Linked DNA regions of Saccharomyces cerevisiae S288C. Changing the gene in region 3 together with the main gene of any one other region gives a genetic interaction. Each region holds a gene or a part of one and is shown on either strand. Other genes may lie near its edges.

The links.
Region 1: of REG1 (region 3) and RAT1, a mutation in one rescues a mutant of the other (synthetic rescue), as found in Saccharomyces cerevisiae (one study listed by BioGRID).
Region 2: mutations in REG1 (region 3) and BMH2 are lethal when combined (synthetic lethality), as found in Saccharomyces cerevisiae (one study listed by BioGRID).

What each region holds. Positions count from the first base shown.
Region 1 is NC_001147.6:418,064-423,187, forward strand, and holds RAT1 (ssRNA exonuclease RAT1), read right to left. Parts: upstream 3,588-5,124; coding exon 567-3,587; downstream 1-566. Other genes in the region: phospholipid-translocating ATPase RSB1, read right to left, coding at 4,605-5,124. UniProt on the Saccharomyces cerevisiae protein: Possesses 5'->3' exoribonuclease activity. Required for the processing of nuclear mRNA, rRNA and small nucleolar RNA (snoRNA) precursors.
Region 2 is NC_001136.10:651,902-654,994, reverse strand, and holds BMH2 (14-3-3 family protein BMH2), read right to left. Parts: upstream 1,389-3,093; coding exon 567-1,388; downstream 1-566.
Region 3 is NC_001136.10:497,332-502,554, forward strand, and holds REG1 (protein phosphatase regulator REG1), read right to left. Parts: upstream 3,549-5,223; coding exon 504-3,548; downstream 1-503. Other genes in the region: YDR029W (uncharacterized protein), read left to right, coding at 3,769-4,083; RAD28 (Rad28p), read right to left, coding at 4,422-5,223. UniProt on the Saccharomyces cerevisiae protein: Involved in RNA processing and negative regulation of glucose repression. Regulates the level of two antigens, P43 and P70. Binds to protein phosphatase type 1. Functions with REG2 and SNF1 protein kinase to regulate growth.

The sequences.
Region 1 (5,124 bases), on a different chromosome or scaffold from region 3:
TTACCCGATTGTTTGTTGCAAGATTTTTTGAAGAGGACGCTTGCATATTGGCCAAGGAGGAAGTGTAAGATGTGCTTTCGTGACTTGAGCGAAGGGGTTGGCGTTGTATAGCATGAACTTCCCAATATGTTGCATTCATCCCTGGATGATAACAGACCAAAGACCAAATTTGATTTTAAGTTTAGGAACTTAGAAAAAAAAGGTAGTGCCGTATTCGAAACTTTCGCCGTGGACTGCCTCTCTTTTCAAAAAAGAAGAACAGACCATGCTTTTTCTCCTGGATCTGGAAGAAAAAATACACGAAGCGTATAAATCAAAATAGAGTTCGGTCTATTGGCTTACAAGGATTTCGCTATTTTACAAGAGGACGTATATTCATATATTCATGCTTCAGCATGATTTTCTCTTAACTTAATATGTTCCATTTTTTGTTATAAAATATTACTGTTCGTCGTTTGTAAGAGCAGACACTATTATCTTAAAAGAGCTTTTTTTTAATTGTATGAAGATTTTATAAATTTGCGAAAACCTAAATTTACCATAAAATAAAATGCGCACGAGTAGTTCTAACGCCTATTTGCTCTTGAATTGTCATACCGACTTTGCTTGTTATTCCGAGAGTAGCTGTTGCCGCTGTACTGTCCACTATTTCTATTTCCGGAATAGTTATTGTTCCTGTAATTTGAATTTTGTCTGTAATTATTGTTTCCACCATCATACCTGCTATTGTTGAAGCCGGGTTGACTGTTGTAGCTATTCCTACCATAGTTGTGGGCGGGTTGGACATTATTTCTACTGAGCTCAGCAAAATAAAAGAATGCTCGATAGCCACCAGTTCTTGGTTTGTACTGAGTAATACCCTTTGGTCCTACTGGAACAATATTTTGCTTCAAATCATTACCAAAGTTCCAGCGACGGGAGTAATTTTGGTTATTATACTTGTACATTATGGAATCAAGGTCATATGCTGTTAGTACCGGTTCTGACGGAATGAACCCGTTCAGTATAATAGACTTATTTCTCGATGGCAACGGAATTAATCTATAGGACATCTTTAAAATCAAGGTGGTAGATAAATTTGGCAGTGACCCACCTTGAATCGGACATACAATTTTCCCATTTAATTCGAAACCTTCAACGTCCTTTGATACAATACCACTTAAACCACTCTTGAAGTGTTGAAACTTCACAACAACATTGTTGTTGTTGTTTTCCTTTGAGTATAATTTCTTCGAAAACCTCTCATAATTAGCATTCTTGTTACTTATTAATAAAACAGGTTCTCCGCGAATATTTCTTGCCCTCTCAGCATCAGAAAGTAAAGGATATTGTGCACGAACAGCTGTTAACAGTCTATCCTGATCGATGAATGGTAGCAACGCTATGCCTTGCCAGGACATCTTCTTACCATTCATATCTATGGGAAATTCTTCAGGATAAAAATCAATGATTTCAGAGTCAGGTTCAGACATCAAAGACCGGAAAATTTTTGGCAAAGCATGGCCAGATGCAGCTGGTAAAACACTCATCAATTGTTCGTAAGGTAAAAATGGAGTACCTTCTTCGAACTTTATCTCCAAGTGAGAAAACCCATGGAAATCTGTTGCCAGAGGAGCATAATGGTACGGATAGAACCAATTCCAAGAGGCACAACCTTGATAGTAATACATTAGTACCCAGGCGACCCCTTCGATATAGCATTTTACCATATCTTTTCTTAACTGTTCAATATCTTGAGGAGTAACGTGAAATTTAGCTGTGTAATATCTTTCGTGGTAACCAGGTTCGAATAGTTTGACAAATTCATCTGTATCAAAGACCCCATTTTTGGGACCTTCGCTGACATTCACTGTGCTGTGGACTGGTGAATCTCTTGATACTTCTGTAGTTTCAGAGTTTTCCCTGTCGTTTACGTCAGCCACAATCTCATCTTTGATCTCTGCATCGAGATCGCACTCTGATTCCGCTTTCTCTGTCTTAACTTTTTTGCTATCCTTAGCAATTTCTTCCTCTTCATTATCCTTTTCAAGACGGTGTTTCTTATTTATTATTTTCTGTTTCATAACTTCTGCAAGGTTAAAATTAGTTTTGTTAGCCTTACTAACAGCATCATCAATTTCTTCCTTGCTGATATCTTTCATCAGTTCATTGTTCTTATCACTCTGTTGCTTAACTTTGGCGATTGCTTCTTCGTTCCCCTCGTTCGCAAGCATCAGTTCCTTTTTCAACCTTACCATATCACTGGTGGTCAAGTTCCATGAACCTTTTGCTAAATTTCCTTGTGTGTCATACATTTGCAGTTGCTCCGTAGCTACTGTAGGATGCCTGTCTTGACCTTTTGACATATTTTTCTGCGCTTTCCTTCTTTCAAAAGCTTCTTTCTTTCTGGCTTCTTGAATATGTCTAGTTTTGAAGATATCCCCCTCACGGGAGCCAAGGTGTTGCAATAGCGTTTCAACAGAAGGGAGGTTCAAGACACCGTCGCAGGTCATGTACGTTTTCAATTTCGGTAGTACTACCTTCCAAATATCCAAGAGAATATCAATACTATTTTCTCTGACATCTAAGCATGGTAAATGTGGTAAAAAGTCATTACCACAGAAAAAGCACATGAAAACCCAATCGTCGATAGCCCTTTCTAAATCAAATGTAAATGGAAGACCCGGAACCCATAACTCAGCGGACAAGTATTCCCTCAAAACATTTATGTGCAGCCACAAGAAAGGTTGTTCGGAATTTTGTTTTTGGAGAAATTGTTTTTCTTCTTCAGTCATATTTATAGTATCTTTTAAGTTATTTCTTTTCCGATTGTCTTGAGCAAAAACATCTTCTCTTAGAATTTTAAAATGTGGTTCATGAGTGGCAAGGCCCAAAAAAATTAAATCAGCATCCAAACCGTATATACAGTGCGTTGTGTTGGGATTATATTCAGGATCAGCTCTTTGAGACCTAATGAAATTCATTATTTTGTGCTCACCTTCACCTGGGACGGTGGCGTCACTGATAATCACCTGCAGGTTTTTCCAACCAGGGTCAGTGGCCAGTTTAAATGCTGTCCAATAACGGAGGGCCGCGGCAAGCTTATCCATAAATGGGGTGCCTGGAGTGATCGCATTTGAATCCCAAGTTTTCTTGTTCCTGACGGCATCATCGATTATCTCACCAACTTCTTCTCGCTGTCTCATAATTTCTTCCCTGGCTTCGTTTTCAATCTGAGCATCCCTAGCACTCCTAAATCTACGCGCTCTCTGCTGGTTCATTTTGGCACGAGGAGCAACACCATCAACAGCCATAACAAGTACCTTGCGTGGTCTAGCCATATTTAACACACGATTGGTATATTCAAAAACTGCCAAAAGCATTTCATCTTCAGTCTCTGGAGGCGGTTTGTTTTCTGGGTGCGAACATGGATGAACAATACCATTCATATCCAAATACAAGTTGTCTAACTCACCGTTTGGATTTGAGGCGGAATAATCCAACGGCAATATGACACCGTCGACTATCTGAGGTTGCTCTTCCAATACTGGGGATATGATCTTTGGATATTTTCGAGATAGCCATCTGAAAAATGACGGAACACCCATTATATTACGAAACTTGGCTGTAGCACTTCCTTGAAGAACCTGTCTCACTAATTATTACGGGATGTCTTTATGTTGTAATAGGTTCATCGATGAGGTTTGGTTTTTTATTGCCATAGCTGAAAATCTTATCTAGATACTCTCGTTACCCGACTTATCATTCCCGAGACGCTCAAATATACAACCTGATGAGAAAGTAAGGTAATATACCTCCAAATGTTCAAGATTATAAAATACATTGCAGTGCCTTAAAAACGTACTTCCGATATTATGTGATAGTAAACTTTTCGTAGTTTTTCATCAGAGATGGGGAAAGCTTTTTTGGTGAATTGATTTTACAACTACTTGTTTCAGTATACTATAAAAATCGAGTAAAATTCGTGAATCTTTGAATAGAAAAGATTTCGTGAACATATCTATAAATTAATCACTTTCTTAACCGATATAAGATTTTAGCCCGGTGATATAGGCTTCAATCAGCAGTTACGCTTTTTTGCTTTAATTTTACTGTTTATGGAGGTAAACTAACGCTCCTGCTCTCTTTCATATATCAACAGATAGGTCTGTTGATTGATTCAAATAAATTTATTTTCCTTATGTGCGCCATAATTATATGACCCTATAAGCTGCCGATAGCGGATTTTCTGTTCTCTATGGGAAACTCTGTAGTTTTCTTTTTTTTAGTTTAGTTCGTTCCCAAAAATGGAAGAACGTCAAAACAGTGATCTACATTAAGCTGAGGCGAAAACACTAAACGAGGAAAGTTATACGATGGCACAGGAACAAAATAGAAAGTATGTATGACGTTGAAGGCTGATTAAAGCATTGAAAGGGGAAAAATACTTGTGAACTAAAAAATGTACATATTACGATGTCGAAATATAAGGAAGTAAAAATGCTGTCCGGTTCTTTTGAATAGGAGAAAAAATAAACAGAACATAGTCGGGAACTTCGAGAAAAAAAGTAAGAATTGAAAAATGCATATGAACGATCAGATTGACATTCAAATTCTACGTATCACTAAAGTTTAGCCTTCTTTTTAGAGGAAAACAAGTTAGCTATTTTGGACATGAATTGTTTGAAGGTGCTAATCGGGTATTTCATGCTTGCTTGGAATTCCTCCTTTTCAATATCAAATTGTTTTGAATCCGAAGTATCTAAGATATCTTCAACATCGTCAGTATGTGGTAAAGTTTCAGGATCAACATGGCCCGGTGTGATTGGAATCGAGGTGCTTCTACCTTTAAACGCAAATCCAGGGTGGAAGATGGTCAAAGTGACCGTAGCGATGGCCATCATTAATGCATCTAAGATAATAAAATACCACTCGTGTGTGATCAGATAGCCATCCCAACCGACAACTAATTCAGCCAAACGGTAACAACAACGGGTAAAAATGGTTAGTACCGCAACGGTTATTGCCAGATTAAAATAATGAAAAACCCAACGTTTAGGTTCGAGTCTCAAAAAATGGAACTTTTCCCTGTATAAATAATCAACTTCTGTTTGCGATATCTTTAAGAGGCTCAATGAGATAGGT
Region 2 (3,093 bases), 150 kb from region 3:
TTGTGGTTATTTGACTTTGTTTATTGTCCTCTCTTGTAAGACATACATATTAATGGTCATAGTTTTCCACTCGAAGTATTTTTCCGTTGCGGATTTACGCTACTATACCCCCGCCCCCCTACACCCAGGGAGCGCTGTTTCATCAAATGAGAAAAGATGCCTTCACCTTCAATAGGTAAGGTAGATCAAGATTCAAAGGAAAACAGAAGAAAGAGGTGCGTATACAATGGAAGGAACTTATTTTAAAACATACGAAAATTACTACTCAATTACTCTCGCAAATTGTCTCAACTCTGAACGATAGCCAAAATATAAGAATACACGAAGAAAACAGTGATAGAAGTAATAGTAACAGAAAAACTATTTTATGTTATATATTAAGAAACTATTTTTTTAGAGGTTTGTATATTTTGTAGTTGGTAAAATTGAAAATTTTGTGAATTTGTATTAGACGAAGATATTATCTCTTCCCCTAAAAAAAGTATCAAAATCGAATTGCATTCATTTTCGTTAGCAAGAAAACTGGAGTGGTAAATCTTCATTTCCCCTTGTATTTCTCAGCGCTCTTATTTGGTTGGTTCACCTTGAGTTTGTTCAGCTGGAGCTTGTTGTTGCTGTTGTTGCTGTTGCTGTTGCTGTTGTTGTTGTTGTTGTTGATCTTCTTGACCAGATTCAGAAATATCAGAGGTCCATAAGGTCAAGTTGTCCCTTAATAATTGCATGATCAAAGTGCTATCCTTGTATGATTCTTCAGATAAAGTATCTAACTCAGCAATAGCATCATCAAAGGCTTGTTTGGCCAAGTGGCAAGCCTTATCAGGAGAGTTTTGAATTTCGTAATAGAAGACGGAGAAATTCAAAGCTAGACCTAAACGAATTGGGTGAGTTGGAGGCAATTCAGTTGTGGCGATTTCGGAAGCGGTTTTATAAGCCTCCAAAGAGGAGTTGGTTGCCTTTTCTCTTGCATCTCCGCTGGAAAATTCAGCTAAATAACGGTGGTAGTCACCCTTCATCTTATAGTAAAATACTTTAGACTCACCAGTAGTAGCAGAAGGGATTAAATGAGAATCTAACACAGATAAAATGTCGTCAGAGATTTTGGTCAATTCAGTTTCAATTTTAGAACGGTAAGAACGGATTAATTCAACTTGATGTTCAGATTTCTCCTTTGATTCTTCTTTTTGTTCGATCGAAGAAACTATTCTCCATGAAGCACGGCGAGCACCGATGACGTTCTTGTAAGCAACCGACAATAGATTCCGTTCTTCGACAGATAACTCTTGACCTGATGAAGCAACGGCCTTCATGTTTTCGACCATTTCTTCATAACGTTCGGCTTGTTCAGCTAATTTAGCTAGGTAAACAGAATCTTCACGAGTTTGGGACATTTTTTTTGTTGTAACGGGTACTTTTTGTTGATTTGATAATTTTTCTTTTTACTTCGTTTTGAAATTGTCAGAGTATTAACCTTCTGTCCAAGTTTTCTCGTTCTTTGCTTTTCCCCCTTAATCAATCGAAAAAAATAATGATTAAAAACCGGGAGAGGCAATTTTTTTTGAAAAAATAAGTTAGTAATTGAAATTTGATAAAAAGAACGAATGTTTAAGATAGCTCAAAAGATTTCGTAACCTTTGATGATGAATATTTGAAAAAAAAAAGACTACTGGAGGGACTTATAATAACATTTGCCCCTTTCGACCGACTTTTTCCTCGTATTTCGTGTGTGTCATTTTGCTGATCCGGGTGACACACTACTAATCATTTCGAGCAGACGACCGATTTGTCCGTTCTTCCTAAACAAAAAAGGGACGATTTCAATAGTATTCGCTGTATTATTATCTCTGGTCATATGAATACCCACGCTTGAATTACGGATTGGTCGTAACAAAAATAAGTGTTACCTCGCTGTTCTGACAGAGATAACTAAACATTTCAGAATGCAACATCACACGGGTGGACCTATGTTCTAGTTCTTGTATTAGAAGAAAGCAATCCGCTGTGCTTAAACCAATATAAGATATATATAAAAAAAAGAAAGTGGGAAAAACAAAGGAAGAGAAACTATAACACTTCACTTTCAAGGCCTGTTAAGTTGATATAATTAACATTTTCAGGAGAGTAACATTCATGTCGGTAATAATTCAAATCAGAGAAGATGAAGGTGGTTGTGGAAGGAGCTATTAATGAAACAAGTTATTGAGAGGTAAAACATACGGTTCGATTCAAATATGAATTCTTAAATTTGAAGGTGGTGTGGAAAAGAATGCAATTGATCGCGCTAATTTCAAAAGATAATATTAAGTAGAAATGAGGGAAGAAGCTGAAGCGAAAGATATATAAGTCATCAATATATATAAACAGGGACTTTGTTTATGAGCTCATGTTATAAATACAGATAAGACAGAATTGAGAAAGAGGAGAAAGAGCGATCTATGCGATTCGCCCCCGAATCTTCTCGTCACGGAAGACCGTGCATTTTCTACGGCAGCGGCTATGGTGTAATTGTCATTAACAACGGAGAGTGTTTGAGCGGCTAATTTTCGGTATTCCAAGAGACAAATTTGATTTGTACGAGGTATATGAACGATGCTCACTATATGTTGGAACTTTTGAAACATCTTTGTCTATTTCTCACAGAAATTGATGCTGTGTTACTTCGTTTCATGATTTTTCGGAAAGATACTGTGTAAGGTTATCATATATGAAGCGATACGTGCTGACCATAAAGCAGTACTTCAATAAAACGTTTTCCGAAAAAATGTAGTGTTGGAATGAAATCTTAGTGTCATTTTTTGACTAGTGTTCATGCTAATAATATTTTTTTAATGCAGTCTTTCAGTCTTCTGTTATGTAGTTTTTGTCATGATTAGAACAATTTATTCCTCGAAGACCTTATTCTTCTCATTGATGTTGCCATACACTATGTGTGCCATCTGGAGATTTTTATTAGCTCGTTATGTGAATGACTATTTACTTTACAGAACGATAATGGCGCGCTCATTGTATTAAGACTCCTATAACCTATAGAGTACTATTTTATATTATTGCTATATTATCAAATGAGGTATAAGAAGATTATACAACAATTGAAAA
Region 3 (5,223 bases):
CACCAAACCTTTAAATTGTTTTAATACTGCTTTAGGATATCAATACTGCCAATTACTGTAAGCTCTGCCTAAAACAAAGTTGTGCCTAAAACAAGCCGTGTCGTAGTTTGTTTTGTTTACTTTCTAGACTGTTGTGTGGTGTCTTCTTTATAAAGGAAAAACCCTTTAAAGATCGAAGAAAACATTGATTGTACTCTATCTGAAAATCATTACCCACGAACATATCTTAGATCAGCTGCGTTTAATTGCTAATATATAGAACACACATACGACTATGGAAGCTCAAGAAGTTCTTGTACATAAGTACCAAATATTGTAAAGGTATAAAGAAGTTTTGAAATCTGGAGCGAATTTAATTGTGTACGTAAAATAACTGCTTCGCTGTCTACATTTGTCCTTGACAATGCCAGTCGATTACAGCTTACTTGGATCCTAAAGACGGCACTGATCCACACTACCTGGATTTTTATTTTCTCTTCATGTTGACTTCAAAATTCTTTCTTCTAACTGCTGTCATTTCCATTTTCTTGTGGCTTGACGTCACTCTTTTTCCAAGAGTGCAAGTACTTGCTTGCCATACCTCTTGCATTCTGCACCACTTTGTGTAAGCTTTCATTACTCGAATCCGTCAAAGACGCTTCTTTTCTAGTGGTTTGCACGCTATCAACTTTCTTGTCCTTTAGCTTACTAGCATTATTTATATGGCAGTTTTCAAATCCTTTTGCCAAAGTGTCCATTTCTGAGTGATCTTGATGGTCCATCATATTTCCCCCGGAAACAACAGACTTGATAGATTCATTTCTAGGAGAGAAATAACCCTCTATGGCAACATCACTCGCCCCCACTTCGGCTGGTGAAGGAGTATTATTTACAATTCTAAAGCTTTGTGAACTATCGGACGCTTTTGGCTGCTTTGGAAGGGCTTTTTTCTTCTGAGATGATATGTTTGCTGGTGTCACACTGCCTTTCAATACGCTTCGATTAACCAGCTGACTGTTAGCGGGTAATGGTCTTTGTTCCTCCTCGCTGCTACTCTCTTCTTCACTATCTGAATTGAATATGAAGTTCCCTGAAGAGGAATTGCGCTTCAACGGATACGGCCTGACAGCCAGTTGTGCATCTTTGTCTACATCAGTTTTACCCCCTGTAAAATTAGTAGGATTTTTTTGTTGAGGAGTTGCCGAAGAGAGTGATGGTTGTGCTAGATCGTACAAAGAATTGGTAGATCCTGATTTCCCAAGTGACAATGTTCTCCTCAGTGAAAGTCCTTCATCGTGGTTATCGTCTACTTCTTGGTCATCGTCATCTTCTTCCTCTTCGTCGTCGCTACTATTGTATTGTGAGTCTTCAATAAATTGCTGTTCGCTATCTGATGAAGAGCTGTAATTGTCGTCGTCATATAATAACATATGCGATCCATGTTGACGTGTTGTATTATTTGCTGAAGCTTTGTGTAGTTGTGGAACATGTTTTTCCTTGGATTCTACCGCATTGTTAAATTCATAGTTTGATGCATTATCATCTGCAATGGCTGTTTGTAAGTCCATTCCTTCAGGAACATCTACAATGTCACATGAATCTACTGGTAAAAAACTGGAAGTATCACCAGTGTAGACCGAGTTATAATCGTATATGTAATCATAGCCTCTGGAGGTATTGACGTTATGTGACACAGCATTACCATACCCATTAAATTCGCCATTATCAGATTCTTCGTCTGATCCATAATTCAAAGTGGTATCAGGAAGCAACTTTATTATGGGACGTACATGAGCTCTGGAAGTAGTAGATGAAGCCACAGAGGAATTATCTGTTATTGGTGAATGAACTCCAGAGTCAGACCTCCTGGAAAATCTTGCATTTATGTAAAGGCCGCCGTGTTCTTCATCATCAGAATGTGATGAAGATGATGATTGTGAGGATGTATCATCGTCGCTAGTATTTTTGTTCAAATGTTCAGTTGCGGAGTTGATAGGAATAGATTTATGCTGAATGGCTAGCAATGGAGTCCTATTGTTGTTTATTGTTGTAACGTTCGCATTGTTATTAACATCAACATATTGTTTATTTTCATCATCGCTTTCATCATCCTCCGATTGTGAAGCTGGATATCGTAGTGCCATACATTGTTCCACCCTGTCATTAAAATGTATATGTCTATTTTTAGTAGGTTTGTTAGATTTTTCACTTGGGTTTGAGGTTAATATTGATGATAATCCCATGGAATTGTTTTCATTATCTCTATTGGAGGAAGATGTTGAGGAGGGGAACCTATTATTATCAGGAGAATTTAGGTTTTGATCCAAGTTAGCCTTACGATCATTGGTACTATTTTCTAGTATGCTTTTGTTTGATTGTGCCGTTGACCTATTGTTTTGAACATGAAGCGCTGACTTTAAATGCAGGTCTTCTTCTCCCTTGTCACCGCCACCATTTGAATTTTCTCCTACAGGATTCGGTATGGTAGAATTATCTTTTTTGTCAGAGTGTTGACTCTTCAAACTAACGCTACTGTTCGATTCTTTGGGATAATGGTAGTACTGGGCGTTAACTTGAGCGGCCAGAGCATCGAAATCGTCATGGACGTTTTTGTTGCCATTGGGATCCATTATTACCGAAGCATGTTTCATTTCTGTCATGTGTTTTCTTGCCTCATTCAGTTTCCATAAAGCGTTGTCCTCTATAATTTCTGTGACGGTTCTCTTCTTCAAAATTGGTTTCGGAGCAGCTGCGATCGACTTTGAATTTTTAGTGGGCATTGAAATTCTCTTGGAATTTTCATCATCCGAACCATATCCTCTTTCTAGATCATGTTCTTCTTCACTTTGGGCATTACCTTCAGAATCTCTTACAATAGGGCCATATAGCCAAGTCACATCAGAATCTTTTGACCAATTAACCACTTCAGGTGACACTGTTTTCAAGTTGTTTCTTGCTTTTGCCCATGTTCTCCATGAGGCATTTTCTAACCTAGCAGCATTTACTAGATCAACATCTCTTTTCTTTTTCTTTAGGATGATATATTTCCAAGAATTAGAAATTTCTGATTCTTTCCATTCATGTGACAGATAGTCAACATGTCTTTCTGGCTCTACCACTACGTCATTATCATCTTGTGGAATTAAGTAGCTATCATTATCCGCCGGCGGTGGAGAAACGGAGGTTGAGTGTTCCTGATAGCCGTCATCATAATCATCATCTGAAGAATTGCTTGAAGAATTATTAGATGAGTTGTCATAATATTCATTGTCGTTATCATATAAGTCGTCTGACCTTCCTAGCAATTTCTTGGTAGGGTCAATATATTCATCAAGAAGGCCCATTGATCTTGTTCTTTTAAGGTTGAAAGTTGATTTATGGAAATCATCATCATTTTTCGCTTGAACAGCCATCGATACTGAAGGCCCCATATCTTCGTCGTTGTCGTTATCGTTACCACTAATTTTGACATCACTTTTGCTATTACTTTCATGGCTCGCATTTCTATTTACATGCTCGTTTTCAATATCTTTCTTACCGGCGAAGTAATTTGCTAGATTTGTTGACATTTTTGGATTTTTCTTATCTCGTCTTCGTCAATATGCTTGCTTTAGGATTTATAATCTTCAAGGATATTATCTTTTCCCCCTTGCTTTGACTTTTCAACGTTCGTACAGAACACCAGGTGTGTGGTTATACGTATAACAGCCAAAAGCTAGCCCTCGTAAAACTAGTATACCAATTAGTTCTCTTTCAGGAGGTGGTGTTAAAAAAATAAGAGAGATAAAGATGAGCAAATATTATATCTTGATAGAGCTGATGAACGATAAAAAGAATACTAACTCTAGTTGTGATATTTTCTCTTTCTATTTAAATTTCAGCGATAACCCTTTCTCAAGCTTTCGTTTGAAATCGCGTCTCCTATATGGTATATTCTCCTGTTTTCTCCTTTTTTATTCCTTAAAAGACCTGATAGGGGTATTCAAACAAAAGTATTTATATTTGTCTATTCTTCTTTTATGGCTTCTTGTTCTCCTGTTCTGTCTTGCAAAAGGCTTGTCACACAATCTCAGGGCTGATTCCTTCCTTCAATATCCACTGTGAGTTTAAATGCAAACAAAAATAGAGTGAATAAAAAAAGCTTTCGGCCCGGAATTGGTTAACCCGACTTACCAATATTATGTCAGAAAAGAGGCTACAGCTGAAACTAAGGTGAGGTGGTAAGAAATGCTCTCTATTGAAAAGTATGCATGAAGTGGAGGATAAGAGGTGAAGCGGCTTGGTAAAATATACCTGCCAAGTCTGAGATGAAAGCATTTGTATATAGCTATTAGTTGTATATTCGTGTGTAGCGATATACGTTTCCGGGTAATACAAACCTACATTGGTTCAATTATAAGAGCCGCGAAGACTATTATCATATTCTATACGGCATTTATTACTTATGAACATTCAAAGATGGATCCGCCGTCGCTAACGGTGTTGTTGTTAGTTCCAAAGAACAATTTGAGGCCAACTGAATTCATTATATTTGTTTGCACAATCATGGAACTAAACTGACAATGCGAAGCCTGATTTTTTTTTACCTGATTAACCATTGGGTATTCGAGCTTGTTCCAAAGTTTTTTTTCCTCCGTATTGTATATTTCTACTTCACCATTGTCAGTAATACACAGTAAAAACTTGTCAAACCAAAGCAACCTTCGAGATACTCTTTTTTTGTATTTGATACGGCTCAGGTCTTGTGTTCCCAACTGGGAATAACTAGCTAGACCTTCTGGTTGCAGAATTTCCGTAAATGGCCTCCAAACATTCAGTTTTCCATCCATGCCGACTGAACATAGCTCTGAACCCTCACTATTCCAAACAATGTCACTGCAACATCTCAGATGGGCTTTTGATTGGTTAGAGCTGAAATAGACATCGCTTTGATCGTCATTATCATCGTTATTTATAGTCTTGAACCTATTTTTATTTCTTTTCAATTCTGAATACAGTCTGTTCCTCATTCTTAGATCCCATAATTTTACCCCACCCTCCATGTCACCACAAGCAATAATCTGTTCCCTGACGGGGTTAAATTTGCAGCATAAAATTTCTGATTGCATTCGTGTTTGATTTCCCATTCCAAGCGCAGTTACCCCTGAATTCATGGTTCTCAGGTCAATTAATCTTGGATAGTAGTCTTCACTTGCCACTACAAGCAAAGAACTGTCGTCGACAACGTTATTATCAATTTGATTT